Tamandua tetradactyla: one gene and its partners. The protein of the gene in region 2 purifies or fractionates together with the protein of the main gene of each other region. This does not show direct contact. Links are inferred from orthologs where the notes say so. Each region holds a gene or a part of one and is shown on either strand. Other genes may lie near its edges.

Region 1 (10,641 bases), on a different chromosome or scaffold from region 2:
TATGAGTACTAATAAACTTTTCTTTCATACAGCTCTGGTGTCACTTGTCCTTGAAGCACCTGATTATCCAAATAAAGATCTTTACAATTCATTAGTCAATTCACAAACATTAATGTACTACGCAAAGCATTAGAGAAACAATGTACCTTGTTTTGTTTTTGTTTTGGCATGGCCTGGGAATCACACCCAGGTCTCTTGTATGGAAGGTGAGCATTCTATCATTGAATCACCCGTGTACCCTGTACTTTGAATCAGAAGAGTTCAGAGTAAAGTGGGAGGAGGAGACACAAGTAAGCAAACAAATACACAAATAAGAACAAAACAGGAAAAAGCAGACTCCTGTGGGAGCCTAAGGAAGAAAAAAAAATTATCTATAATAGTTCACAGCCTGGATTTTAAATCACACAGACCTGAATTCAGTTTCTAATTCTGCCACTTAAAGAGTTTTGTGACTTAAGAATCAAGGTATTCTCACTTGTAAAATGGAGTTATAAATCATTTTATCCGTTCCTTGTTAGGATGAGGTAAGACAAATGCTTATTATGGCAATACAAGACAGGCATTTAATAAAAGGCATATGATATGGACAATAAGGGGGAATCTAGACTGAGTAAGGAGGGCTCCCTGGAGGAGGTGATTCTTGAATTGCATCTTAACCAATGAACAGAGAGAGGAAAGAATCAAGATGGAACCCTAGAGAAATGTTAAACTTACATTAGCAACCTTATCTCCACTGATACACCTAAATGAACCCTCCTTTCTATCCAGGTTGCTTAATTCACTGATCTGAGAATACTTTTTGCTTATGCTCTTCTCTCTATTATTACTGAGGTCATATCCACTCCCATCCCTGGCTTTAACCTAATGCCTGACCATTCTATAAGACCAACGCAAGTTCCATTTTTTTGTGACTGAACACTTTGGTCCATAGCAATGGTTCCATTCCTTGAAATTTTCCAGTACCGAATCAGATAAACACACTTGTATCTCCCTTCTACAACTCCTTTTCCCCTCCCACTCCAGACATCTCATCATTATTCTTAACCATCTGTACTTTTGCACTGAGATTATGTGAATGTCATGTCTCTATTCGACTGCAAATTCCATGAAGGCTAGACTCTATGTAAGTATGAGAAAATAGGGCAACGTATGGAATTTTAGTCTTTGATCTCAGATAATTCCATACATTAAGAAAGAAATCAGGGGCGGCCATGGTGGTGCTTGCCTGCCATGCCAGAGGACCCGGGTTCAATTCTCGGTGCCTACCCATGTAAAAAAAAAAAAAAAAGAAAGAAAGAAATCAGAATACTATTAGCAGCAGTCTCAGTTAGGCTTAAAGCCAAAGAACATGTTTGCAGAGGCTTAAAGAGTTGAACTTAATGGGGTTTATTATTCTCAGGTTCTCACATTGATCTGCCCTCAGCTCTATCCATAGTAAACTAAAAAAAATTTCCACTGTGAATTGCGTTCAACAGTCATTTACGTTGCCTCAAATCCTTCAGGGAATAAGACCATGAGATAATAAAATAAAGGTCAGGGGAAAGGTTGGCAGTCAATTCCTTAGACACAGGTTCCACACTGGAAGGCAGTATATGGTACAACAGAATCAACAGACCCGGGTTAAAATCCTGGCTCTTGAAAATTTCGGGCTTTAGACATTAGGCAAGTGCTTAACCTCTCTGAGAGACAATTTCCTCCATCTAATAATGTGGATTAAACACTCATCATTCAAGGTTGTTATGAAGATTAAATGAGTTAATATATATAAGATAACTAGCACACTGTGAGAAAAGACATACTTTGTTAATTATTTATTATTAAATGAAGAGGTTGTCTTCTTGCCAACCTCTACTTGCTCGAGTAAAGAAAAGCTAGATTTAATTCTCAGAATAACTGAGTTCAACATTCAAATATCAGAAACTCTCAATTTGAGACAGGAAAAAAAAAAGGGAGCTTTATAGACTATAACCAAGCTGGGCTCCCACAAAAAGAAAAGTGACGTATTCCACAAAGAATAAAAGCTGTTGGTAATTGAATCATATACCTCACAAAAGACTAGTTCAAGTCTTAATCAACATTCCAGCGGGTGTGAACACAGATGTCAATGATATATCTGAAAATGTTAAGTGAGTCAAGAAGTGGACTCATTTGAAAATAGGATCTTGTATAGTCCTTATATAGGTGTGATCAAACTGAATGAGGGTAGGCCTTAATCTATATGACAGGAGACCTTATTAAAAGAGGAAATTCTGAAGCGCTCAGGGAAATCAGAAGTCAATGAAAGCCACAGAAGGAGAGAATGAAGCAGAACACCATATGACAGAGGAATGCCATCACCAAATTGCTACCCATTCCAGGAGAAAGTATGGCCTTGCTAATATCTTGATTTTGGACTTCAAGTTTTCAAAACCATGAGACAATTTTTTTAATGCTTGTTATTTAGGCCAATCTACTGTATGGTATTTGTCATAGCAGCTCTGGCAAACTAAGATAAAAGGTCAATGTCCAAACCTTGAAGGCACTTCAGATTGTAACCACTGCCTTTGAGGATTCTTCAGATCAACCACAGTTTGTACAAAATGGTAGGAATCATATAATAATATATGGAATAAGCCAAAGAATCATGAACTGTTAGAGTAGGAAGAAGCGTCAGAAGTCTTCTAGACCAAGCCTTTCCTTTCAGTTGAGGAAGTAAGCACAAGATAGATGCCAAGCTTCTTCTTGTCTTCCCAGACACTCAATTAATTGCCATTCATTATTTCCCTTGCAAGAAGCAGGATCAGGGAGGAATAGGTTCTTTTGCCTTGCAAAATGTGCCCAAACAGTAGAAGCTACGTGCTGCAAAAGTAAACTATTGGATTCCTGGTAGGATATCATAAGAAGTGAGAATGCTGCATACAAACAGAAATGCATACTTGTAACCAGTGGCTTTTCCTATTTTTCTATAGAAAGAAAGATCCCTATGGGATGACCAAAATTATCTGGAAGTTTCTAGTGATAACTGAGTTCTTCCCTGTATATTTTCATATGATACAATGAAGAAAAGCTGAATTTGACTCTTAGACTTCTCGGGAGTACCACATACCACGTAGCCAGCTCTGGAAAGTGATAAACAGGAACTTGACCTTTCCTTGACTTCCAATGACTTCTTCATCCAGGTTCAATACTAGTTTTGAGGAGCTATTGTCCTAAGCTCTTAAATTCATGGGCTCTCATGAAAATGCTTAGGAAAATTCAAGAAGCCACACCATGGATATATTCATTCATTGTGGATAAATACACATACAATAGAGAAACTGAGTCTCTAATTAGCTAGATATAATTGTTCCATTTAAGTAGTGCCCTGGAGTTTATTTTAACTCCAATGATTCAGAAAAATGCTAACACTAAGAAGTTAAGGTCTGCATTGTTTTCATTGGCTCTATGAAAAGAACTAGGGCCAACAGATGAAAAGCAAAGAAAGACAGATGTTGCTTTAATAATAACTTTCATGTTACCTTGAAAAGTCAATAACTATTAAGAATAAGAGGAGAAATTTACATAAAATAAGAAAAATGAATTCAAGAGATTTGAGCATAATAAATGAACCTCTGACAAAAGTTTAGGAGCTCAAATGGAGCAGATTAACTATGAGTGTGATATTCTCTTAAGTAAAGTCTACTTCTAATTTTTTATAACAGGAAGACAAAGTATGGCTTATTCTGAAAGTCACATTTTATTACAAATAAATGTAATGGTTAAGCTATCGAAAAATTCTAAGAGGTGATGATGGGAACAGAAAGAAGTGGAATGATTTCAGAAACATTTCAGAGATAGAACTCATAGGACTTGATGATTTATTTATAGCCCAGTGGAGTTAAGAGTGTGTGTAGGGAAGGGGGCAGGGGTGAGCGCTGAGAGAAAGAGGGAGGCTAGCAGGGATAATCGTAGATTGAATTGTATCAGAATTACATGCGGTGTTGTTTAAAAAGAAGAAAAAAATCCACACTGAATTCATATCCCTAACGGAAATTGACGTTTTTATTTAAAAAAGGGGGGGGGGGGGCAAAAAAACCCTGGATGTTTTGAGGCGGAACTAGGTTTGAGAATTGCTATAACAGAAGTTCCCTCAGGCTTCTTTCCGCTTTAACATTCTAGTTGAGGCTCTAAATGACTTTCCCAGAAAAGAAAAGAGAGGAGATCCTAGCACTACGAAAACAGCTATGCATTCCGAATCCATACCGTTCATGCTCCCAGTTTTACTAAATGGTCCCTCATAGGAACTGGGATAGAGCAGGCAACGGAAAGAACGGTGTGATATCCACGGTAAACTGGCTTAAAAACACGTGTGCCTTTTCTTCTAGGTTTTTCTGCCCCGTTAATGGGGGAAAAAAAAAACTTTCCTAACTCAAATACGCGGGGTAATCCGAGTGAAAGATGAGATGAATTGCTGAGTCCCGTGTCTGGGCAACGATGTTTGTCAAAATATTTCTTTTAGGTACCGGCAAGCGTTGCAGGAAAACTCTAGGTTGGGGCCTGCAAGCTCCGAGACCAAGTGAATCCGGCTGGGCAGAAGCGTCTGCTATTCACTTATACCCCCAAGTCCCCAATTCAGGCAGGACCCGTTTGGCACATACCTGTAGGTCCTCTGGTAAGGCTGATCTCTTCTTCAGTGATCAAATAATCCACTCTTCCATTCATGTTTTACTGCTTTGCTTTCCTGGCTTCCCACTTGGGTTAGGTAGAGCTCCTTACAGGTGAAGGTGAATCAGTCACCCCTTTACACCCGCCTATGGTACAGCACTTTCGGTTTCAACAGCCTCCGGACCGGAAGGGGAAGTGGGGGGTGCCTGGAGCGCTGGGAATGCTGGGAGTCGTGGTTCTCGTCCCGACCCGGTGCGTCGCCTCACCCGCTCTTCCAAGCCAAACCTGAGGTGAGCAGGGAGCGGTTGCGATCCTGATTTACTGTTGAAAGCATGGAGAGGCATTGGAAAGGTAAGGGACAGAAATGAAGTGTTATGCTTGGGGAAAAAGTAAAAATAAAATACCCTGCCAACCTAGAAAATCTCCATAAAAAATAGAAATGAAAAAGTGTTTTATTATTCATAAGTATTAAATCTGTCTGTAATGCATATTACAAGCAGGCAGCTAATGAGATTGCAGACAGAAAGAACCCTCACTTTTTTATATTTCCAAACAGATGTAATCAAGACCCTTTCTCTTGACCAAACTGCCAGCATTACTCCTTCATTTGCCCCTACCCGCTTCCTGCCCCTGACTATCCTGAAGCTAATTTTGGAGTTGAGGGTCAGCAGAGAAAAACAACTCGGACTGCAGGGGGGGAAAGCAAAAAAAGAAAGAAAGAAAACGTCGGACTGTATTCTAAATATCAAACTTGCCCGGACCGCCCGGTCTCTCTCTTTCTCACACACGGCTACTCAATAAGGGATTCGCCCGTTTTCTCTTTCCCGGCCCTTCTAGGCTCCAGGCCACCTAATAACGCAAATGAAAACATTGCAGACCTAGTAGTCCTAATGGCAACATTAGTAAATCCCTTACTTATCTAGGTGGAATCAAACCACCCTAAATGCAACCTCAGTTAATTGCTCACCTACCCCAGTGATCAATCTCTCTTACTATTTTCCAGTGCTTTTCTTCCAATTGACTCCCAGCCCTTAGATGGAATTGAGTTCCACTCTCTCTCTCCTGCTATGGTAGCCCCTAAATAAGTCATCTTTGTCTGCTTAACTTTGTCTGGTGTAGCTTTGTGCCGCCCCCCCCCCCCCCGCCCAGATATAGTTCATTGTATGAATGTTCTCAGGTAAGACTACTTGACAATACAGTTTGGTGTACATTATTTGGTAATGCACTCTGCAGGTGGCCGTCTGCATTAATTAATAAATGAAAAATAAAACTTCCCTATCCTGATGACAAGCAAGTACTTACCACTTAGAGGAAGGTGCATAGACTAACAGCGTCTCTGGTGATGGGAGATAGAGATACTATCATCCTTGATATATGTATTTCAAAGAGTTGGCTCCCAGACCCTTAAGAAAAATATCTTTGGGATGTACCAAGCGAGAGGCTTATTTAGCTTTTGAAAAGATTTATACTCATATCAAAGGGACAGAGGAAGGATTTACAATGACAAGTTTTCTCAAATTCTCTAAGAGAGAGGGGGAATGTCCGTTTCTCTTTTGGCAACAGAAAAATTAAATCTTTTAAAAATTTACCCTTACTATATATGTACTACCTTGTTGTGATTTCAGCCCAGCCCTCCTGACTTTTGGGATAGGACATTCCAGATTCAGCTTAAAGGAACCTGCTATAGTCAAAAACTCAAAAGCAGTAAGGACCAGGAAGGTGACTTGAATGTGTGGCACAGCCTTGAGCTAGACTCTAGGGATTGGTGCAGACCATGAAGGATTGGAAATTGAAGTCCAACATAAAGGAATTCAAACTCAGATTTAAAAAAACAAACCAAAAACTGTATTCACTAAACAAAACAAGACAGAGGCATTCAACAGGAAAACCTGTTTGCTAACCCTGAAAGAAATTAGTATGGATAATGGAAAGAATATAGGAGATGATGCTAGAAGACATGATCTCAAGTTTCAGTTCCTTCTCCTTCCTGTTGTTTGCTTTGGGCAAGTAGCCTAACATCTCTGAACTGTTTCCCCATCTGAAAGAGTGTGATAATAGCTCTTTAAAAGACTGTTGAATGAATTAAATAAGATGAAATTTTAAAATTTATTTTTTCAACTTAAAAATCAGTCAGGAAAAAAAAAGCTCAATCAGATTCACAACATCCTCACTTCCAGTTCTCCTCAGGAAAACAGCTCAGTTAATTTGATTCAACACAAATTTATTAAGCACTTGATAATGTGTCAGGCATTATGCTAGATGCTGTAGATATAAAATTAAAAGATTAAAAAAAGAAAAGAGGAAAAAAACATCTTCTACTGTGCACGTCTCTTTCAGTTTAGAAAAAGAAGTAGAATGGTAAAATTACAAATTATGTTAACATGGTAGGATATCTACAGTAATAAAGGCATTTACAAGAAGCAAAAATATAGAGTAGTCTGAACTAGGTAAGAATTCACCATGTCTGGGAGTAAATCTGGTAGTGACAGAGAAAATTTTATTGGAGAGTCATGGCTGAGTCAGGTTTAAAAGAATAAATGTGTCAGTTGACAAAGAAAGAGGAGGTCATTCTGATGCCAGAGAGCCCTCAGGAGTTCTCCAAGAGGTGGAGACCTCAAGCAGGGCTGACGCCCTGAGCCTAATTTTTAAGTCATAGGAAGGAATTCAAGGACTAGTCAGTGTGAACAGCAAGAAAAGTTTAATAAGTGGCAAAAGTACTGGCTTGAAGGGGGCGAGTGTCTACTGGGGTTGGGATTCCTGCATTTATAAGGACTTGGAGGGACCCCTCCCCTTTTGTTTATGCTGACGAAGGATAGAGCAGCATTTCTCATTGGTTCTTTTCCATTGCCAACTGGAGTGAAGAGTAGATGTTCATGTACCAAAAGGAACTTCCTGTTGTTTTACTCTTTGCTAGTGATGGGTCATAAAGTCACCTTCCCCTCCCTCCTTCCCTATCTGCCACAATTCTAGCCAAATGAAACAGTGTGTTAACAGGAAGAGGGCTGGGAGTGTACGAGCCTTACAGCATCCGGGCGGATCGGGTCTTTCCCGTGCTGCCGGCCCACCTGAGTAGTGTTCCTTGCCCATTCCCGCCCTTAACGCCGCCGCTGCCCCTGGGGGCTTAGACGTGACCTCCCAAGCGCCCGGTAGCTTCTGTTGGGTCAGTGACATGAGCGATCCACCAGGGTGCTTCCTCGGTGCCACCCAGCCAGTTGTGCACCCGAGTGGCCGATCTCTTTTCCGTGGCCTCCGGTTGGTCCAGGAGAGCTCATGCATCACCTACACGGTGACCCAGCCAGACCCAAGGTCTGGGCCGAACACGCACCACCAGCACCTGGCATCATGAGGCACCTGCCCTACTTCTGCCACAGCCAGGTGGGGCTTCAGTCTTGGTTCCAAGCAGCTGGGTATCCCCACTGTTAACTTTACTGAACAAGTAGATAATCTTCCAGCTGATATAGCCAATGTCATTTATTATGGTTGGGCCAGAGATGGAAGTGGAGATGTCTATAAGATGGTAGTGAGCATAGTATGGAACCCATAATACAAGAATACGAAAAAGTCCATGGAAACTCACATCAGGTATACCTTCAAAGAGGAATTGAGGAAATACTCAATGTGGTGGCTGTTGGCAAACTCAGACCATAAAAGAACTTTGATTCTTTAGAATCACTTATTTCAGCAATAAAAGGTGATATTGAGGAAGCGAAGAAAGGACTAGAATTAGCAGAACATTTGAAATTTAAGACAATTTCTTACAGATTCATAAACGCAAAATAATGAATGGCCACTGCTGAAAAATCATCTTATGTATTTGGTCTAGTTTGCTAGCTGCCAGAATGCTATTTATCAGAAATAGAATAACTTTTTAAAAAAGGAATTTAATTTTTCAGGTTTACGGTTCTAAAGCTGTGAAAATGTCCCAATTAAAGGAAGTCTATAAAAATGTCCAAATTAAGGCACCAACAAGAAGTTATCTTCACTCAAGAAAGGCCGATAAAGTTCAGGGTTTCTCTTGCAACTGGAAAGCCACATGGCGAACATGGTGACATCTGCTAGCTTTCTCTCCTGGCTTCTTGTTTCATGAAGCTCCCCCAGGGGCGTTTTCCTTCTTTATCTCCAAAGGTCTCAGGCTGCCTGGACTCTCGTGGTTCTCGTTTGCTCTCTCTCTCTCCAAAATGCTTCCACTTTTAAAGAATTACAGCAAACTAATCAAGACCCACCTGAAATTGGTAGAGTCTCATCTCCCTCTAAGCCAAGGTTAATACCCACAAATGGGTGAGTCACATCTCCATAGAGATAATCTAATCGAGTTTCCAATCTATAATACTAAATAGAGATTAAAAGAAATGGTTGCTCCCACAATACTGGATCAGAATTAAAACAAGACTTTTCTAGGGCATATAATCCTTTCAAACCAGCACAGTATTAGTTTTCTAGTATTTCACTGCTCATTACTACCCAGTCTCATGTTAGCATACTTTAAAAATCAATCACTTTCCTATAGCTGTAAATTAGTTTAAACAGTACAATGTAATCACTGTATTTATGCTTCAGCTGTTAAATTAAACCCATCATGCCACAATGCTAAAAAGATTTCATTTAAAAATCAAGATTCTTTTTTATGTAATATGTTGATTAAAAACTCTTTCAACGTTTTCTAAAATGTACCATTTGGAAAATCTTAAGTTTCTTATGATGAAAATAAAGCGTATATATAATGGGTAAAAAGTATATCACTAGTAGGCTGGCCACAGTGGCTCAGCAGGCAGAGTTCTCACCTGCCGTGCTGAAGAAGACCCAGGTTCGATTCCTGGTGCCTGCCCATGCACACACACACACACACACACACACACACACACACACACACACACACACACACACAAAAGAAAAAGTATATTGCTAGTTTGAGATTTAACATGATTCTTAAAGTAACAGTATGTATGTAGGTACTTGTATAGCATGTGTTGTTAAATAGAGAGGTTTGTAGAAGTAAATGGATTATACGAGGTTTGGCAATCTACTATAAACCTAAGAAGAAAAATCCAGACTTTGTATTTTTGATAAAAATTGTACATTGATAGTTTTTACATGAATATAGTTTATTATGGACATGAAGGCTTGTGAAATTTTATTTCAGTCATTTCCTTCATGAGATGAAATCATTGTACTCTCTGTTCCATTTTTATGTAGACCTGCCTCAATTCTAAGTGGTCTTGACTTCCTCCTTCTACTTTTTTTTTTGTTTGTTTGTATTTCAAGTCAAAGAAAAATGAGGTTGTTGTTTTACTTTCATGATAAAGTCCTTTGAAGTGTAAAAGTTTTAAATTTTGATAAGGTCCCATTTACCTATTTTTTCTGTTGCTTGTACTTTGGTTGTAAAGTTTGAGAAACAATTGCCTAAGCCACGGTCCTGAAGATGCTTCCCTACCTTTTCTAGTTGATACTCTTCTCTCTTCTGTATACATACCCTCTCTTCATAAGGAATGAAATTCAGTTCCCTGACAGTAAAGGCCATTATTATACCAAACTTGACCTCTTTACTGGGCATCAGTCTTGTGTAACCCTGTTGCCTACCTGACATCTCAATTTGAATACCTTATAGGCAACTGTAGTTATAATAAAAACAGAATACCTAATCCCCATATCTAAAATCTATACCTCTCTTAGTCTTTCCCCTTACCAGATAAGTCAGTTTACCCAGTTTACATAAAAATCTTAAAAACCATTCCTGACTCCATTATTTCCTTTATACCCCACATGTAGTCCATCAGAAAGCCCAGTTATCTCTATGTACTCATATATTCTGTATCTGACCATCACAGCCATACTGTCTTAATCAAAACCAATATTTATTGCCTGGACTTCTGCTATTCTTCTAAACAGTTTACCCCACTGCCGTTTCCCCTTCCAGCCCCTACCACCCATTCTTCCCATAGCAACTGGAACAATCTGATAAAAATTTAAATTGTATCATGTCATGCCCCTGTTCAAAATCCTTCAATCAATTCCATCTCA
Region 2 (9,600 bases):
TCACCTCATCCAGTATTCTAGCCTGTAATACCTTTCCTACATCCAGCTTCATTCTGATGGGGGCAGGTAATGAGAGGGAGAACAGGGGAGTGCTATATATTAGCAGCATAACACTGGCCTTCCACTCACCCACCCAGAAATAACTAGCAGATCCCAGACTCCCTTCTCCTTATACTCAGGAGACATTTGCACATGTGCATGCATGTGTTCATGTGTGCAGGTGTGATAGCAGTGAGGGAGTCTTAGAAAGAAAAATGATTCACAATTCCAGAAAAGGACCGTAATTACCTCCCAGACTTTGGTAGCATTTGGGCTTTGGAATCCTAACTCAGGCAGACTCTCACCTGCCCAGAAAGTCATCTTTGTCTGGATCCTTGTCAAATATCTCCACCTCTATCTCCTGTCCTGGGACTTCATGTACCATGACCTGGAGAACACAGAGGGATAAGTGGCTCATGGGCTGCAGTTATGAAGGGCATCTAATCTCAGCATCTTCTCTCACAACCTCCCAGGGCCTCCTCATTTCACATACACACCCCTCCTATGCTCTCCCACCTCATAAGTCTCTCCCCACTGAGGGTTGAGTTCCTCATCGATGACGCGGCTGCAGAACGTCTGGGTGCCCACACGCACAAGTGCGTAAGGGTCTGACTTGCCCTCGATCAGGCCCTTCACATATTTGTCCTTGGAGCTCAGCCCTCGGGCAGCCAGCAGGTGAATCCGAACAATGCCCTGCAGGGAGGAATCAGATGGCAAGAAACTAAGGAGCCAGCACAGGGTTCCTGAGAGAGGGATCTGTCGTATGGGGGAAAGAACATACCCTGGGCAGAGGGGAACGCAACTGAGCCACATCGTGGAGGTCAGGCACTAGGGGGACCAATAATCGGTTTGGCAGCACGAGGAAGGCAGCGATGGAGTCCATGATCATGGTGTCAGAAAGTGAGCTATGTAGGGGAGTTGAAAAGGAGGTGGGAATGGCCCCAACTTCCAATCTTTCCCTATTCCCAACTCTGTTTCATGCAGCCAGCAGTGGCCTAATGCTGGGGGGACATCCCATCTTGTAGCTCCTTTTTGGCTGCTCTTCTGCCCTGATTTCCCACCGACTGCTCCATCCCTACTTCACTGCCATCTTCTGCTCTTCCTCTTTTTGCCCCCACTGAGCAGTCCTCAACCTTCTTCATTCTCTAACAACACACCCCCACCTCCACCCCCATGCCCACCCAAGAAAAAAAGAAAATCACAGTATGAAATTTTTAGGGGTATTTGTCTTATCTCTCCAACTAGGGTACAGACTCCTGGAGAGAACAAGCTACTGCTTTTACTGTTTTGTGTCCCCTGAACCTCCAACTCAGGGCTGGAAAACTTAGTAGATGCTCAAATCAGTTCTTGCTACCTGAGTCCTGGGATATCCAGCAGGTTGGTCATCCCTGTCCAGTTGATGTCTAGGGTCTGGAAGGAAAGAGAAGGAGAATAAGGACAGATCATGTGGTGGTACAATCTCACCCATCGAACAGCTGCCAGACCCCTCAGGCTTCTCGTTAATTTTCTCCATTTCCCATAGCTGGCTACCCTCATCCTACCTCTCTTCTCCACTCCCCCTGCCTCCTCACACCTCTCAACGTCTCTCCTTACCGGGCGTCGGATAAAGAACATCGACACAGCCCCCACGATAGGACGGTCTCCGATGAGTGGCTCAAGGATCACCCGCAAGACACCATGCAGCTGGAGCAAGAAGAGAAGATGAAAGCCTTTCCCCAGAAAAGCCTCTTCACCCCTCCAAGACTTTCCCAGCCTCATTTCTTCTTTCCAACCTCCAACTTCCCATAGCCCATGAAACTTAGGGAAAAGGCTCCCCTATTGTGGGACCCTTGGCATATGTCCTACCTGCATGCCCTTGACTCCTGCTTTGCAGAAATATTTCTTCACTTCCACATCAATCTGCACATCACCTACATAGCTGGGGTTGGTTAAGGAAGAGTAGAAGGAGGGTTAGTACTAATCTGAAGTGGAGAGGGGGATGAAGAAGCCAGAAACGACCAGCGCTCCACTCATGAAGCAGCGGGAAGAGCAGCATTACCTGATGTTCAAGTCCAGAAGGATCTGCTCTTTGCTCTGACCAGGATGAACTGTGACTCCCAGGATACGGAGTGGCTGGAGAGAGATGAAGTCTTCTTAATAGAGAGGGGAGGGAAAGGGAGGAACACCTCAGTGTGCTCTCAGCCACCCACCTTCCCAGTCCCATCTCCTCCTTTTCATTACTTTCCCTTCTCCCCCCTACACACCTTTTCACCCAGTTCCACTCGTGTAAATGTAAATGTTTGCAGATGGGGGTTAGTTCCCCGAACAGCTGGGGCCACAGTTTCAGCCAGAACCTTCTCCATATACTGGCCTAGAAAGGGCCAGATCTGGGCCACAATCTAGGAGGAAAGGAGATGGTCATAGGAGCACAAACCTTCCCTCTAAAGACAAGAGTCTTCAGACCCCCCCCCCCCACACACAGCATTCAGGACTAGGCTGGGGCTAGAATTGGGGAGTGGCCAAGGTGGGCAGGAGGACCCAATCCCCATTCTTCCTCATGAAAAATAAAATTGAGGACAGTTAACCCTCACCTTATTTAGCCACTCAACCTTTTCCACATCCGGGAAGCTGACCTGGTGGGGAAGGCAGAGACAGTGATGAATACGCCCTTGGCCTGTGGTTTCCCCCCATGACAGTGGGTGGTACATCCTCAGAAGAGAAGGAACACCAAACTGTGGAAGGGCCTACTCACATCCAGGGGGGATGCTGGGAGGTTGGGGGAGGGGGTATCCCCAGTTTCATTCCTCCAGAGGGTTTGGGGACACTGAGGCCTCTTTAACAAGGGAGTTGGCAGGGTACAGTACACAAGTTGTTCTGTGGATAGGTTAGAGATGTGAAAACGACAGCTGCTGGGGCAGAGTCGGCAGGAGGAGGAAAAGGGCACATTCTTCCCGGAGGGGAGGCCCTAATGAATAAACGTTTGGGGAGGGAATCCTGGGACTGGAGAAGACCCGGTTCCTTGTTCCAGGCTTCCCTCCTCCCTGTGACTGAGGTTTCTATATCAAGAAGGTGAAGAGGGAAGCAGCTCCTTGAGTTGGAGAGACCGGAACTAGTAAAGCATGATGGTGGGTGGGGTTTTTTCCCTCTTTCTTTTTAACAGCGACTTCTTTAATGCGAAAGAAGGACACCTGTGCTTTATATGGGGGTGGGGGGTCTGGAGGAAGAGTAGCTCCATGATGAGGAGTAGGAGGAACAGACAGTTGCTGCCTAGGCTACAAGTCCCCTCACATCATCTCTCCCCGTCTCCCTTCCCAGGGCCTGGGAAGCATGTCTGTGTTTGCCTAGTGCCAGCTTTGATTGCTCTCTTTTGCCATTCTCCCCCTAGTGTGGCACTTCTACTGGAAGGGGCATGAAGGGAGGGACAGGGAGGAGCAGGGAGGGGCCGGTAGCGAGCTCTGCTTCGCCAAACAAAAAGGAGCCATCCGGTCTCCTCACCGCAGGAGAGGGGGTGCAGAGATAAGGGTCCCTGCCCCAACAGAGCGCGGCTTACAGTCGGGAAAGGGTGGGGCAGAGAGGGGGCGGAGTGTAGGCAGCGGGCACTGCAGCAGCCGCACCATCCTCCTCCCCGCACCCCGCCCCTCGTCCAGCAATCGCCTCCACCGCGCTGCAGCCAGGCTGCCGAGCCGAGGCTGGAAGGAGCGGGCCGGAGGGTCGTCCGGATGTGGAGTCTCGGAACGGCAGGCTTTCAGCGGGTACCGGGAGAGAAAACGGCAAAAGGAAGAAAAACCTAATGGTCTTAAGTAGGTAAAAAGTCTTAAGGAGCATAAAAAGGCGAGGAAGCCCTAGGAGCGGCAACCGGTATGGGAAAGCCCGGGAGCTGCATAAGGCGCGAATGGCATCAGAAGCGAGGAGGGGCGTTCCAGACCGCTTGGCTAGGAGGCAGCCTCGGCTGAGACGGGGTCCCCAGATGTTAACAGTCCTCTTGCCTAAGAGTGGAGTAACAAGTCCTGGTTCTGTGGAAGGATGAGCTTCTGGGCGTGCGGAATGGCAGGGAAGAGGGTGGTGGTGGAGTGGGCAGTTAGTCCCAAGAGTGGCGCGTCTCTGCAGAGAGGTGGCAAGCGGGACGAGAGGGGAAAGTCTGGGGCCCACTCAGCATAGGGATGGGGGCTGCCTAAGGGATAGGGAGGGAAAGCCCCAGAACTGAGGGGCTGGAAAGGGACTATGCTGCACTAAGGGATGAGGGTGGCCGCTCACCCAGGCAGGTAGCTCTCGATGGCTCATATACAGTGTTTTCGCCGTGAGCTGCTCCTCGTCATCCAGCAGCTGCCGCGCTGCCTGAAGTCTCCGTTCTTTTTCGTCGCGGACCCGACGCCAGCCCAAGTAGAGGGCGAGACCGAAGACCACGAAACCTACGCTGAGTCCCATTGCCCCGGCCAGGTAGACCGGCACCAGCACCAGCAACCGCCGGCCGAACGAAGTCAGCACCGCAAGGGCCTCGCCTGCTGCCCCCGGGCCGACAGGTTGACTCCCAGAACCCAGGTCCGGCTCTGTGTGGGCAGTGGGGGGCCGGTCAGGGGGGTCGGAAGGAGAAGAGGGTTGGTCCACGGGGCTGGGGCCGGAGCCCTCTTCAGTAGAGCGCTCCATGGTGCCACCTCAGGGAAGACCCGTCCGAGCCAGAGACCGGCTGGAGGTGGCTTAGACCTGCAACCAGCTGCCCCTGCAACAGTGATCCCCAGGATGGGGGAGGGGACGTCAAGCCACGCCCCTCTTCTTTGGCGGTTCGGGTTGGTCCGCGCCCCATACACCAAGGAGGAGTCAAAAGGTCGGAACTCCGCCCCGAAGAGACTGGGCTTCGGCGGCGCAGGGCCTTCTTGATTGGACTAGAGTTCCAAGATGGGAGGTCCGGGATGGCGGGAAAAGGAGGAAAGGGCCTAAAGCACGGCATTTGATTGGCCAGGAAGAGGAGGAGGCGTGGTATACCATTTAAAGAGGAGAGGCGGGACCACGAGCTCCCCCCACGTGGGATTGGAGTGCCTGTGGTATGACGTCAGGCAGAACCGCACCGCCAATTACCTCGTTTTAGAGAGCTGGAGTTGCGAAACTGGGGGGTTGTGGAGCGTTAGGATTTCCTTCCATCCCATTCGGACTGTTTGGAAGGATTTGATTTTGGGTTTCACATATGTTCATTTGTCAGCGTTCCCTAGCTTTCATATTGAAAGCACATTCCTTATCCTTCATTTTCTTTCTGGCCGTCCTTACAAAAGAAAAGGAAATTACCCTATTTGGAATGAAAACGTTCAATGACTGATCCCCCTCTCTATTTCGTCCCAAGTCCCCTAACTTGTCTGTGCAGAATGACAGACATTAAAGACAATTGGAGAGCCAGAGGATTACAAAATTGAGATGACCCAACCTTCAGAGGGGGAAAAAAAGCAGAAGGGTGAATAGGAAGTCAGATTTTATCTTTTTTGGAAATTTCCAAGAGTTAGCTATCGCTATCACTACTGAGATCAGATTAAAACTAAACGGGCTAAAAGAAAAAAAAAAAAAAAAAAAAAGAGGGGAGCTCAACTGCCCTAGAAATAACTTTCCAAGAATTTCCTGAACCTGAGAGCTACCAGAACACTGAGAAATCAAGAGTAGTGTGATGATTCAGTTTCTCATTTGCCTAAATTGGAAAGGTTTGGAATATAGGCAAGTGTAGAACTAACTGTACTGTACAGGTTCCTGAAGGGAACCCTGCAGGATACACTGATGATAACCATTGTTGCTAGTTAACGGGCCTTGAAGGTGGGATGTTGTCCAGGAACCTAGAAACGAGACTAATTGGATACAGGAGAGGGGAGGGTTGGGCATAAAGTACAGATGACCTTTTAATGCAGTACATGCGGGGCTTATTGTTTCACTCTGTTGAAGCAGCAGGGGAACTAGAGTTTGCTGCAGAGAGAGTACATCGGCAGCTGATACATTTTAGCTGCCTCTGCAGGGCATAGATTTCTTCAGGTTGTTGCATTAAAATTGCTTAAAACCTGACCCTGCCCAGCACCCTCCGTTAATCATAGTATTCTCACTTCCCTTTTCCTCCTGGGGCTGGCAGTATTTAGACTGCTTAATTCAGTTTGCAGAATTGTATAAAACATATTTCCATCTGCCTCCCATATCCTCCATATCTCCAGAGGTCAGGGAGCAGGTAGAAAAAGGGCCCAGAGAGCTTGGAGATATGAGTTATCTGCTCACTTCCTGATGAAGCAGAACTGTAACATGAAAATGGATGAGCCTTCTTAGAGGAAAACCTCTCTATAAACTGAAATTTGCTAAGCACTGGAATAGACAGAGAACCTACAGAGGGTGATTTCCAAACTTCTCACCCCATTCATATCGTTAGATCTCCCTATGGAAGGGGGATGAAGGCTCACCTCCAGTAAGTCCTAGACCCTGCTGGGGCACAGGAGCCACAGAATCAGCAGCTGCAATGCAGGCAGAAGTAAAACAGGGTGGGGCCCAGGCCTTTGATAATACTGCTGCCTGGATGCCACCTGGTGGTAATAGGCAGTAAGTGGGCAATAGGAAGAGATGGCCTTTTGTCAAAGGAAGCCTCTTAAAGGGCGGGGCCTAAGTGATGATTGAGAGTACTGAAACTTCCTGGATTTGCAATCTGCAATTATAATATACTCCTGGGGAGGAATAAGATCAAATGTGGTACTCTGGTCCCAGCCCACTCACCAGAATGAAAGGGGCAAGGAAATTTGAAAAAAAAATTTTTTTGTATTATTCCTCACAAACTGGTGGTCCCATTATTGAATGGCTCTATTAGAACTTTAAATATGCCAAGTCTGGGACCAGAGTGCCTCAGAATCCTGGCTCCATTCCTTAGTAGCTATGGAATGCTGGGCAGGTTACTATATTGTAAGGGGCTGACCTGGCACTCACAGCTAGGCCATCGTGTTGTCCTTTTGGGCACAACAATATCAAACAGGTCACTAAGCGACTATGATGGACACAGAAACACTTCACAAAACAAGGTCAGTGTGCAAACCACAAAGTAACAAACATCCCGCCTCCCAGCTGAGTAACTGCTGCTTCTTTACTAATTACAGCATTAGCCTCACACTAGTCTACCCTCTTTCCAGATAAGATTAAGACACCGAATTATAGAATTGCCCACTTCTTTGACAGCACCAATCAACAGTGAACCTCTGCTTCCTTGAATCCTCCCCAAATCACTTGAAGTCCAATGCTGTAAGTCTTTTTTAACAACTACTTGCTGGAATATAGCACAATTTCCCATAGTATATGTTCTTCCTCATTGCAATGATCATTAAGCCCAACTGCTTAACTACAGATATGTTCCTTATGGTCTTTAGCTGGAGTGCATTGAAACAAGACATACAATGTCTAGTTTCCAAAACCTACCTCTTTAGTGATACTTGGCAAAAAGGAAATAAAGTCAGTTTGTCAGGACTTAAGTGGAAATAATTCGTGTAGGTATCTATGATCACAGTCTTCTCTAAATGCTCATAAACCATCTCTTTTAATCCAGAATTTTGCCAGAAAATCAACATTAAACTTATCAATGTGTTTCTATAATCCACAAACAATATATGTCAGCTTTTCCTCTTTAGGCCCAGGCTTTTTTTTTTTTTAATGACCTGACCCAGCCCAGGATTTCCAATGCCAGGTGTAACCTGAGTGATCAACCAGTTGAGAGAGCAGGAGGTAGGAGAAATGATGGGGGAGAACAACCCAGAACTGTTTTCTCTATCCTCAAATCACAGTTTCACTAGACCAGACACTTCAGTTGTTTCCCCTGCAACAGCCATTAGGTTCAAAAAACTAAAACCTCTGGTCCCATGTGGAGGCAGAGGGAACAAAGGGAGGTTTATGTCCCTAAAAGAACTCTCCTTTCCCCAGCATCTTCCAAGGCTTTAAGGCTTAAGGTATTGGTCACTGAGGAAGGGATGGGGTAGGAGAGGCATTAACTGCCATCAAGCACTCAGAGGCAATTGCCACCTGTCCTGCTCTGTTTGAGTAAGGGAAAGATGTGCCAGCTACATATCATCCCATCTCCATTTCCCAGCACCCACCCTCCTCAGTACCTGCCCCCCTAAATGACCCTAGGAGCCCTGGTTACCAAGGCAACCTGGGAATAGCACATGCAGAGACCAAAAACAGATGGGGCTATTTTTAAATAGACCAGGTGGCTCTCAATGCTTTTACCCTAACAAATGCCTTTCTTACTTGGTCTTTTCCTGGGTGCCTACCTATCTTCACTGGAGTCCATCCAACCCTACCCAAGCTATATGAAGGTCTCTAGCACATTGTAGCATGAGATCTACCTACTGCTCCCATCCTCCCCCAAAGAATATCTAAGTAAGTTTCCACTGCCTCCATTAGTTAAAAATAATTATTTTATTTCTTTGGAAGTGGTGGGCCCTGCCCTATGAACTTCCAGGCCAAGCTAAGGTAAAGAATGCTCCCCTAGCCTTTGGGTTACTGGAGTACTATGGTCCTCGCCTTCCCAGGGGTTCAGGGGCAGTTTCTGTATTGTCCAGCTCGACTGGGCCCCAAATTGTCTGAAGGTTCCTATCCAGTCTTTTCTCCTGGCCACCTACTTCCCAATCTATCCTGGCTTTCCCTCTAGATAGGTATTATTTCCCCCCCTTCCAAAGCCAGTGCTGGAACCTGGGCTGTGCAGAAGAGAGGATAAGACCAGGGTTATCTCCAACTTCCCATCCCAGAACCCAAAGCCCCTCAGTCAGTCTTTCCTCTCTGCTGACTTCAGTCTGTACTTGCATGCAAGCCCCTTCTGTGAGGCTTGAAGGAAGATGGAAAAGAGGACCCTTGTGAAAGGGAGGTGAGAGAAAACACACCAGCCCAACCCTTTCTCAGAAGCACTTGGCAGTCTCTTGTCCTAGTCGTTGAGTGAGCCCTTCAGACAGAGCCTAGGAGGGCTAGGCAAGTAGGTGAATAAGGCTCCCTCGACCCCGGCCCTGGGAGACTAAACCAGGGGAGTGTCCAGTAGCCCCATCAGTGAGGTATGGCCGTGATGCGCATGCTCTGGGAAGCAATGGGGTAAGTCACCATGGGGGTGGTGGTGTGGCTCATTGTGATTCCTGCCAAGGGTTGGGCCATCGATACAGCCACAGGGGCCACAGGGGCCACAGATACAGCCACAGGAGCCATGGAGACAGGTGGGGGTGCCATTCCCTGGGCAATTGTTTGAGCCAGAGCAGCTGACAGTGGCGTGATCTCTGGGTTCAAGTGTGGGGGTGGGGGTGGTGGAGCAGCAGGAGGTGCAGCATTAGTTGGGGGAGCAGCTGGAGCTCCAGCAGGGGCCACCAGTTCTTGTTGGGACACAGGGCGGGGCTGTAGAGCCTGGCTGCTGAGAGTAGTGTGAGTCTGGGCAATGCCATGGTTAAAAGTGGCCACAGTGCCTACAGTGGGGGCCAGAGTCTGCTCAGTAGCTGGTGCAGTGGAGCTCAGGGTCATGACCTTGGCCTGATTTCGGAACTGGGCATTTTGTTCCAGAAGCACCTCATTGGTGGCCAACAAGTTGCTGACCTGTTTCTTTAGCTCCTCTAC
Region 3 (10,463 bases), on a different chromosome or scaffold from region 2:
ATCATCCTTGGTCTTTAGAGCCTGTAGAATAACATAAATTCTAAGAAATAAATTCTATCAGAAAAGCATTATTGGGCAAAGGTTTAAATGTCCCTCAAATATTTGAGAAGACTGAACAGTGATAAATTCGATGAAACTAGCCAACTGGAAGCAGTTACAATTGCTATTTTAGAAATTAATACAGAACTTAATCAATTCATCAGTGTAGACCAGGATTTCTTAACTCTGGCACTACTGACATTTTGGACCAGAAAACTCTTTATTAGGGGGCTATCCTACGCACTGTAGGATATTTAGCAGCATCCCTAGCCTCTATCAGCTTGACATTTGTGGCACATAACCACCCACCCCACCCCCCAGGTCGTGACAACCAAAAATGTCTCTGGACATCACCTGAGGGAGTGGGTGGTGATAGCAAAATTCCCCTGCATTGAGAACTACTAGGGTAGAGCCAGGCTCAATACTCTGTCCAGCAAGTTCCAAAAACCAAACTAACTAAAGTTAAAGGAACACTGAGTGGCGTGCATGACTCAGGGCAAAGTTATGACTTCAGTTTTCCACTCTCCGTTTGAAATACCACATTCTCTAAAAAGCAAGAACAACAAACCCAAAAAACAGAGGCATACCATTTTCATGCCTTCTTCTTGCTGGCAGTCTTTAAACTTTTTAATTCACAAAGCCAAAGAAAACACATCACCATATGTGCAAGGTTAAGTATACTAAGTTCTCAGCCAACTCAAGATCTGTTGGGAGTGATTCTTTTCCTGGAGGGGAAGGAAGGGGAAGTTATATACTCTAGTTTGTCTTACAGCAGTGAACGTGCTTACACATGTATCTGTAAGCTTGTTTCAGTGAAACTACTAGTCAAGCCCAACTAAAAAGAATATTGGGGAAAATTTGTATACTAAAAATAATTGGAGAGTTTAAAAGGAAGCTTTATCTTAACTTGCTGGAAAAGCTTGCGCCACAACACAGTACTGGAAAAAAACACATTTTCTTTGTTGACTGAGAATTCTGCTATGGTTCATGGGTTTATGAAGGTAAGTTATGACTAAACAGTATTAAAGATTCTGAAAATGCAGAAACTGAGAGGAATATAAAAATGCTTGCAGGCCTACTACAGAAAAAAAAATTTTAAAGAATGAGTTCAACAAGTGATATTATTTGCCTCTTTCTCAAAAGTGAGGACATCATCAAAATCAATCTGGCTACCTGAAAGTTATAATTAGCTGCGTTCTAGTTAAATAAGGGTTTCTCAGTTGGCAATATTTATTTGGCTTTGTTTCCCCTTCAGCGTATAAATACACTTACTCTTACTTCTTTGCATATTCACCTACTATATCATTAAAGCTTTTTTCCTTATTCATAATATATTTTAGCTGGGAAATAAACATGACATGTTTACTGGTATCAAAATGCATGTCAATAAAAAACAATTTTTAGAAATGTATACATAAGAGCATCAAATTCTCAATACAATATTGATAAAGTTTGAAATTATTTCAAAATAATTTTAAGAGGAAAAAATATTGATCATTACAAATTATACTTTATTGAAGTAAACACACTCAGATTTAATTAACTACCTACGAGGAAATTTGACTATGTACTAATATGCAAATTAGAATTACTTAGGGCTTTTTTTTTCTTAACTGTTGCTGGGCCCCAGAATGAATTAAATCAGAAAATGTGAGTGGCACTGGCAGAAGTCTCTAGGTGATTCTAATGTAAAGTAGCAAGGAGAATCACTGCTCTAAACGGATTGGCCTGAAAGGACTGAAAGCCTTTTTTTCCCAAAGAAAGCTTTCGTCTTACTTTTCCCCCTTAGTGTGTATTAGCTAATACCTCCTACAGCTTCAAAGATAACTCAGGAAAATGTTTTAAAATTCAAACTAAAACGTCGTTGTGTTACTTGAACACTTTCTCAATATCAAACACAAAGCCATAAAGAACTTCAACAGGCATGCCTGCATTAATAGGTAAATTCTAACCCAGTTCTGAAACAAATTCACACACCTTTTGTTCTCTAAGGGACTTCATGGGAATCTTAAAAGAATCTGTGGTCAAACTGTTGAAAATGGCTACACAGGAGAACTGGGGAGTTGGAGGGGACTTTTATTTCTTGCTTCATGCCATTCTCTATTATTTCAAATAATGAGGGTGGGCATATTCTTTAGTCTATTATTGAAACCAAAAACATGTGTGCTGCACCATATAAAACCCATTTTTTAATAGCTCTTTTAAAAGGCCTATTCCGAATAAGCCCTATTTAGTGTAAATTAAGAAAACTATGTTATCCATCAGTGATCCTCTATTGATATTTTTCTTAATTACATTATTACAGAGTAAACAGTAGTTAGTAAAATAATGTTTACTAGTACGATGCTTCAGCAAATGCTTTCCCTTACAGGTGTTAAAGCACTAAAGGGCTTTTCTACACTATAAACTAGTTTCTGTACGGCTGGGAATAAGGAAAAATTCGTTTATTTCAGGACTACCCTGCAGTGCCGAATACTGGATACATAAGATAGAATAACTACGAAGGTTCTGTCTCTCACCCAGAAGAAAGTGATGTGCAGTGGCACGGATTTTTGTTGTTGTCGTCTGCCGGGGGGAGGGGGGGTCGGGAGTGGGGACTCCTGTTTAGAATTTTTCGGGCTTTCACAAAATATCTCCCCCAACTTCCTAGTCAGGTCTGAGGACTGGGATCTACTCATTAAAAGACTCTTCAAACACTTTCTTTTTTTTCTTTTAGATTTATTTCCCAAATGAACCCGCTGCCAATTTCAACAGCGCACAGCAGATTAAGCAAAACTAAAGCCTGGTAAAAGGACAGCCGAAGTCACATCCAGGAATTTGTGCCGACTCCCTTTTTGGTTTTTATTCGATACTTTTCCTACGCTAATGTCTTCAAGAAAGGGGGGGGTGGGAAGCACTGAACTAAAAGAACATACTCAAAACCCATTTAAGGCCACGTTCTTTAATCTCCTTATACATGCGGGTTGAAAAACAAGTTTCCGAATACTTTTCCCAAGGTCGTTGGGATAAAAATAAAGCTCTCAACTGTGAGACACTTCGCAGCCTTTCAACACTTCAATAAATGCTGAACAATAAAGCATCTGCCTTCCCGCTCCATCCTGGGCCGTTAAGGCCCAAATTTCCCGACCCGAGAGCGTGCGGAGCCCCGGAGCGCCGGCCCTGCCCAGGGCGCCGCCCCCGGGGACCACCGGCCCTCGGCGCTGTCCCCGGGCGGGCACCGGGGACCCCAGGTGGGCAGCGGCGGTCCGGAGCAGCGCTGGCGGCCTCCCCGCAGCGGCCCGCCCGAGCCCCGAAGCTGAGGAAGGCGCCGCCCGCGCGCCATCTGGCCGAATCCCGCGAGGAGCCGCGGCACCGACTTCTAGCCGAGGGACTCCCGGCGAGGGACGCGCGGGCTCAGCCCCGTGACAAGCAAACGCGGCGGCGCGGGCGGTTCCCCGGGAGCTGCGCCAGGAAAGGCGACGGGGGTGACCACGGAAAGAGTCCGGGGGGGGGAAACTGGGCGCCTCACCTGCTCCTCCCGAGGCAGCCGCTACCGCTCGCTGAGGGGACAACATGGATCCTCCGCCTTAAGCAGAGGCAGCAGGGGCGCAGAGGAGAGGGGCGGGCTGGGGCGGGAATTGGGCGGGGCCTGGGCTCTAGAAGAAACTGGGGAGACCGAGGCGCGCGCCGAGCCGCCAGAATGGGTCTGCAAAGCCCAACCCGGAGCGCGAGGAGAGGCGAGTGCTGGGCGGGTCCCGCCAACTCCCGCTACGCGGGTGCGGGTGCGGATGCGCGTGCGCGAGATTGCGGAGCCCGCCGCCGACTACCTGGAGCTGGGCGCTGGAGGCGACGGTCCTTCGGGAATTGTAGTCCCGCACTCTCTGGATCCCAGGTTGGCCCCCTCATCTGGGGTGGGAAGGAAGCGGAAGAGAAGGCAGGACTCGGAGCGGTCTTTCCATGACTGAACTACAACTCCCAGCAGGCTGTGCGGAGGCGTGGAAGGGCGGGCCGGCGCCCCCACCCATCCACCCAGCAGCCTCTGGTCCCTGCTGGCGGCGTTTGGAGCTGTTTCTGTGTGTGACACTGGCCCGGGTCACAGGTAGGCGGCACCCTGCCCTAAGGACCGGACAGAGGTCTCAGCCCTGGGTGACGTGAATGGCATTGAATTTTTAATGATTTTGACTTCACAAGGAGAGGAGCTGATGACTTCATTACCACCATCAGCTGCAGCCCATATTACTGCCCTGACCGAGCCTATGTTGTATCGTAAGCACTCTAATAGGGCCCGGAACAACTTCCAGTGCGACCCCTTCCTCCGGCTTTGCCCAGCCCAAGCCACGGCTGTCTTTTGTAAACCTGAAGTTTCCAGGGACTTTTGCAAGCACAAATTTTGAACAAGGTTCTCCGAAGATGCTAAAATTCACACTTTACCTGTGATTAAGAAAACGTTAGTTGGCACTATTGAACAATATTGTTTTTTGGGTTTGTTGGGTGGGGGTAGCTCGGGGCTAAATAGTTGGCGCTTATGGGAGACTAAAGCATCCATTCCCAGTCACCCTCTTCGCTTAACTTTGCCTCATTCATTGGACAGATTATTCCACTTACTTCTCCCTCTGCCTCGACTATTATAACCTACCCAGGAGCTGTATTCAGCCAACTGTAGGCCTTCCCATGCCCTTGAAATATTTTTTATTCCTGAGTGGTTAGGACAAAGGTGAAGTAAACAATTCTACTTAATCCTACCTAAGGAGATCCTTCTTTGATTTCTGTACCCCTGAACCTTAGGATTTTCTCAAACTCTCGATTATCTGAATACCCTCTTCTGGGCTTTAGATTTAAAAGTCTAGATCAGATCTAGACCAACTAGGGCCAGCAAACAACTAGAAGTGTGTATCAGGGCAAATGGTTACTGAGGATTCACACTGGCATGCAGAAGGTAGGACCTGTAGGTTGTGACACACATCCAGGGCTTTATGTGGCATGCTGAGAAAGAGAAAGGAGGGGTCAAAGGTCAATGACTTGTCACAATTGCAGCACACTGTGCAAGAATTTAATATTGCACACTCACCGTTGGATTCCCTATTCACCTTCCCTGCTTTACTTTTCTCCAATAAGACTTCTTACCATCTAATTTACTTACTTAGTGTTTTGTATGTCTCTTTCTACTTGAATGTAAATTCTAAAAAGAGGATTTTTTTCCTTCCTCCCCAATACCTCAGACATTGCCAGGGAGATAGTGGAAACTCAAGTATCTGCTGAATGAATGAATGAATGAAGAAGTAGAAGGTATATGTTACACCTAACGTGGCTCATTCACTTCCTTATTCCTTTACTATTAAGTACCTTTTACCTCTGAACAAAATGCCCTGTTCTATTTTGAAGGCTCTCAGTCCATCCTGTCAGGAGGTGAAAGCAAATACTGACATTATATCTCTCTCAATATGAAGACATCCTCAGGGTCAATGTTAGCACTGCATCAGCCTTCCCCATACCTGATACAAGCTTCCCAGCATTTAGAACAACATGGTACAAATTATAGGTGGTGGACTTTAGATTAGTCACAGCTTAGAAAGTAAACCTTATAAACAGGAAATGTGGGGTTTGTTTGTTGTTGTTTCTCTTATTTCCTTCTCAATCACCCAAGGACATCAAAACAATGAACATGCAAAATGCTAAATATTGATGATACTGATTGCAGCCTTTCTGCCTTAAGCAGTTTCACTCTGAATTGAATCATGTAGTCTGACTAGGAGGCTGAACCTTCTCTGTTGTTCAGAAGTAGGTAACGTTGAGACATGTTTGAGTGGTTAAGGACACAGGCATTGAAGTCAGACTGACTTGGCATTGAATTCTGGCTCTAATACTCACGGGCTGTGCAATCTTGGGCAAGTTACTTGGCCTCTCTGAACCTATTTCATCAGCTGCAAAATGATTCAGAGTTGTCAGTTAAATGAGTTATAAGTGATGTAAATGATGACCGATGTGTGGTTAGTGCTCAAAAATTGATGGTCATTCTTTATGGAAAAGCAAAACAAAGTCATAAATATTCAAGACACTCAAAGTATTTTATGATGTACAAGAATAGCAAGCTTATTTTCTGCAATAAACATACACAATGACTCAGGTTTCAAAGCTTTCCAAAAATAGGGCATTTGTTATAGGCCAGGCATGGGTGCTGGGCAGTAATGCTGCAACAATGCATAAGACACATCCCTGTCCTCCAGGGTTCATGGTCTGGTGGGGTAAACAGTCAAGTAAACAAAGGATTACCACTCGCTGTGACTATGCTGGGGCTCAGTTCACCATCTCTCCTATCTCCTACTTGCAGAATCGGTGTTCAAGCAATAGTCTGGGCATTCATAAGGGATGAACTGGCATTCCTGAGCATCATTGAAATATCTGTGCCTTACTTTACTTATGTATAAAATAGGGTAACGAGATGGCCTAGAAGTTGAGGTGGGAAATTAACTGAGTAAATACGAGTCCTGTAAGGACAAAGCCAAGGAAGAAGAGGCCTAGCACAGTGCTTAATCTATACAAGTTGTTTAGTTGAATTCCTGAGAAGTGGATGCTCCAATGAATACTTTAAAAATCCTTTCTGAGCGTCCCCTGCCCAAAACCTTTTACTGAATCCCCATTAGCTCTAAGACAAAACCTCACTTCCTTAATGCACTGTGAATGCTTCTGCAGATTCTGACCCCAACAAATTGTCCCCATTTTATCTCCCTCTTGTCCTGATTCAAGCCCCCAGCTTTAGCAAATCTGGTCTGACCACACCCCAAACCTCCTACACACTGTTCACATTTCTGAGCCTCCAGCCACCACCATACGACTGTGTAGTCTGTACCACCAAGGGACAAATTATACCTTGGAGGAGGGGAGGAGAGGAACAGGAGTGGATGGAACCTAGGTTATTCCAGACAAGTCAGCATAGAACTGCATCTGCTGGGTGAAAGGGATGCATTTTTTTTTTTTGTAATTCATCTGCCCAGTGAAGTGCCTTTATCGTATATTTGCACAAAAGCAGCCCCTCCTTCTGGTCCACACCATCCTCTCCTGCCTTTGATGACCCCTTCACTATTACAAACTCCTATCCATCTTTTAAGCTTGAGCTTCTTCATAAAACCTTCCCAAGCCACTACAACTCCATGGTGATCCATCCCCTTTTAAACTAATACCATTCACTTGCCACCTAATCATAGCACTGTGGTTTTGTGTTATTTGAGGCTGTTTTGGGTTGCTACTTAATTTGTATGATTTAATTTTATGTGAGTAAGTTGTAAGCCCCAACTAGCTTGTAAGCTCATTGAAGACAGGACAACATACATATTTTGGATCCTTCCAAAGTGCCCAGCATAGTGTTATACTCACAGCATGTGGTCAGTAAACATTAGTGGAACAAATTATATATACAAATATGCAAACCTCCCAAGCAGGAATCAGGTTTTGGGGAAGTTGACTGGTACAGCAATAAAGAACAGGAAGGAAAGTCAGCTTCAGCAATTGAACCTTTCACAAAGGCCTCTGAAGGGTGGGAAGAGATCACCAAGACCACATTAATGTGTATTTTGGCTTCTTCTCTCTGCTTCTAGATCCCATGGAAATGGGCTTCCTTGCCAGGCCAGGTCTCCAGATTCTAGCAGTTGTAGTAAGGATTAGGGACCAGCATCATTCATTTCTTTATCAAGCACCTAATGACATAGATTTCTTTTTTTTATGCGTTTATCCCAGTGGATATACAGCAGCCTTGATTATCAGATCGGTTTATATTTCCCTTTGTCATCTAAAGGACAGCTTGCTGCATTATCAGCTGCTACTGTAAGTGCCAGACTAAGATGTTTGCCACGAAGTTATTTTGGGAAATTTTCTTCTGTGCCTTTTTCAGAATGTTGCAATGGCCAGGAATTTTTTTTGTTGTTATTGTTTTCTCTCTGGATTTTACCTAACCTTAAATATTATCAAGGGCAGACATAGTCCACTACCTGTTCTAGAAGATTTCCACCAGTCAGATGCTTTTCCCTCCCAGCTGACAACAGGGCTCCCACCCCCACCCCACCATGAGCTTGCATCTTTACAGGATCTGCTGATTCTGCAATTATCCTTCAGATCATTGATTGCTGCTTGAGCAATAACAAAACCTACAGCCTTGAATTTTATTATTTCCAGGACACATTCCCCTGATTTAAAGGATTATGTACCTTTCAAATATTTTGTCCAGATGTAAGGAGAAGGATTTGAATTTGACAAGCCAACCAACCCAGCTCACCTTTTTCTTCCTTCGAAATATGCCCTATCTGAGAAGCTATTGGGAGAAGAGGGCAACTTAACATCTACAATGAACCCCTCTTTGAAATAGTAACAAGATAAGGGTAAGAAGCTGGTTCTGAGGCTGCAATGTAATGTGATTGGAATGAGAAATCATTCTTCACTCTGTACGGCATCATTTCCCACCTACCAAATGAGAGACCGTGCCTCCTCTCTCATGGTGATCCGATATTACGACACATGCAGATAAATTCATAAAACACCTTGCAGCCTGGGCCTACTCAACAGTGTGGGTCAGTTTTCATAGGCGTCCCAGGAGGGATTCGCTGTGACAAGAGGCATCGTCTCTGGAATTTATGGAAAATATATTTTGCAGCTAGTGTAAGCAAAAAGAAACTTCTGCCCTACAAAATACAAAAACAGTCGCCCCTAAAACATTTACATAGACATGAGGAAAAACACCCGAAGGCCACCCCTCACCGGCTTGGGCTGCGGCAGTGGGCGGGGCTTGAGTTTGACCACGCCCCTTGCGCCTGGTCCCGGAGCGGCGCTCCCCACTCCGGTCGCCCCGGCAGGGCGCCGCGTGAAGCCGGTTCTGCCCTTCCTTTCCTGTGGGAGCGCGGAGGAGCAGTTCTTGCGCTTGCGCCCTGCGCCGTTGGGCGCCTCGGCTCGGCCACTGCCCTCCCCCGCCGCACGCTCGCGGGTCCTTTGTGCGCCTGCGCGCTCGCGCTCCCGCCCTCCTGTTCCTCGGCTGAGTCAGTCAGTCAGTCAGTCGGAGTCTTTTCCCCGGAGCAGTAGCAGTGAAGGGACTTCGGACAGCCAGCCACCCGATAATCTTATTTCCCCTCCCTATCTCCCGCCCCACATCTCTCTTTATCCCCTCCGGTCCTTGCTCACGCAGCCATGGCGGAGCTGTCGGCGGCCACCCAGTCCCCGTCCGTCTCCTCGTCGTCCTCCGGGGCCGAGCCCTCCGCGCCCAGCGGCGGCGGGAGCCCGGGAGCCTGCCCCGCCCTGGGGGCGAGGAGCTGCGGATCCTCCTGTGCGGGTAAGGAGACCCTGGGGGAGCCCACGCCTTGGGGAGGGTGAGCGAGCTGGGACCGGGGGCCCTAGAGCGGGGACCGTGGCGGTTTCCCTCAGTAGGGAAAAGGCAACTCACCCTCGGCTACTGGTGGATTTAGCCCCCGAGGATAAGCGTTTGGGAAAATGGGCCCGGGGGGAGGGGAGAGTTAGGTCGTGCAAGCGGTGAGGAAATAACGGGGTGTGTGGAAAACAGGTTGGGGGCGGGGAGGTAGTCTAGAAAGTGGGCGTTAACGCAAAGGCCTGGCAGGTGGGGGTGGGATTATGGAGGGCGATAGAGCGATCTACGGAACGGGGGTGATTTTGTCCAGGAGGGTTAAAGAGACTAAGGGGGTATGAAGAGGATTGGGGCGGGCGGATTGACTATAGGAGAAATAATTAGGCATGATTTTGACGCAGGTGGTGGTGAAAGGGTTGCACTGCAGATTTGCGGGCAGGTGTTGACATAATCAGGCATTCATTGTAGTCTTCGATCTTTTTTTTTTCTTTTTGGTCGCCTGTGGGGTGGATGAAGGCGTTCAATAGGAACATTGTAACGTTTCTTTGCTGTTTTTATCTGCTTTTTTTAATTTTTATGGACTCTGTAATACAGAGTCTGATTTTTTCCCCGAGGCTCCAAGGTAGGAGAAAGCGTGATGAGAATGGCTCAGGGAAGATTTGGGAGGGAGCTGTTGATGGTCCGTCCATGATGGATCCGTGGCTGCATCTGCAGCACAACCTGCTCTTCTCCGGCGCGGCTTGGGGGTGGGAGCTTGCGATCCGTCGCTTAATGTTCCAGAAGATAATAAATAGGGAGTAATGTCAAGCCACCAATATGTTTTGATTTCATATTTTCTTTGGGCTGTTATTGACCGCAGTGTAACAAAAGAGGGTGTTTACTGCAGTATGGGGGGAGGGAGGAGAAAATTCAGACAAAGCCAGGGACTGGTTGAACCCCCTTCTCTTTCCATCTCTGAAAGACAACTAGGGAAGCTGCAAAGCCGCCTTTAGTTTCCATTGTATAGGCGTCTGCCTGCTGGTGGGAGCTGGCTGGCAAACTCCCCTCGTACAAAGATCTGCAGTGCAGATGCTTTCTTGAAGAAAAAAAATGCAGCATGGGCAGG

What was found.
Region 1: the proteins of ESYT1 (region 2) and SYNJ2BP purify together in Homo sapiens (affinity purification with mass spectrometry; 4 studies listed by BioGRID and IntAct, with this or other methods). This does not show direct contact. The link is inferred for Tamandua tetradactyla from reciprocal best matches to the Homo sapiens genes ESYT1 and SYNJ2BP.
Region 3: the proteins of ESYT1 (region 2) and ATL3 purify together in Homo sapiens (affinity purification with mass spectrometry; 3 studies listed by BioGRID and IntAct, with this or other methods). This does not show direct contact. The link is inferred for Tamandua tetradactyla from reciprocal best matches to the Homo sapiens genes ESYT1 and ATL3.

What each region holds. Positions count from the first base shown.
Region 1 is NC_135338.1:28,567,635-28,578,275, forward strand, and holds the start of SYNJ2BP (synaptojanin-2-binding protein), read right to left. Parts: upstream 4,816-10,641; 5' UTR 4,681-4,815; coding exon 4,617-4,680; intron 1-4,616. UniProt on the Homo sapiens protein: Regulates endocytosis of activin type 2 receptor kinases through the Ral/RALBP1-dependent pathway and may be involved in suppression of activin-induced signal transduction.
Region 2 is NC_135333.1:123,181,114-123,190,713, reverse strand, and holds the start of ESYT1 (extended synaptotagmin-1), read right to left. Parts: upstream 4,779-9,600; 5' UTR 4,663-4,778; coding exon 4,273-4,662; intron 2,652-4,272; coding exon 2,610-2,651; intron 2,418-2,609; coding exon 2,283-2,417; intron 2,152-2,282; coding exon 2,078-2,151; intron 1,958-2,077; coding exon 1,885-1,957; intron 1,723-1,884; coding exon 1,633-1,722; intron 1,450-1,632; coding exon 1,394-1,449; intron 945-1,393; coding exon 821-944; intron 733-820; coding exon 556-732; intron 428-555; coding exon 345-427; intron 54-344; coding exon 5-53; intron 1-4. Other genes in the region: ZC3H10 (zinc finger CCCH domain-containing protein 10), read right to left, coding at 9,046-9,600. UniProt on the Homo sapiens protein: Binds calcium (via the C2 domains) and translocates to sites of contact between the endoplasmic reticulum and the cell membrane in response to increased cytosolic calcium levels.
Region 3 is NC_135335.1:10,996,000-11,006,462, reverse strand, and holds the start of ATL3 (atlastin-3), read right to left. Parts: upstream 4,160-10,463; 5' UTR 4,118-4,159; coding exon of another isoform or gene 3,976-4,117; 5' UTR 3,925-3,975; coding exon 3,846-3,924; intron 3,771-3,845; exon of another isoform or gene 3,594-3,770; coding exon of another isoform or gene 3,548-3,593; intron 1-3,547. UniProt on the Homo sapiens protein: Atlastin-3 (ATL3) is a membrane-anchored GTPase that mediates the GTP-dependent fusion of endoplasmic reticulum (ER) membranes, maintaining the continuous ER network. It facilitates the formation of three-way junctions where ER tubules intersect.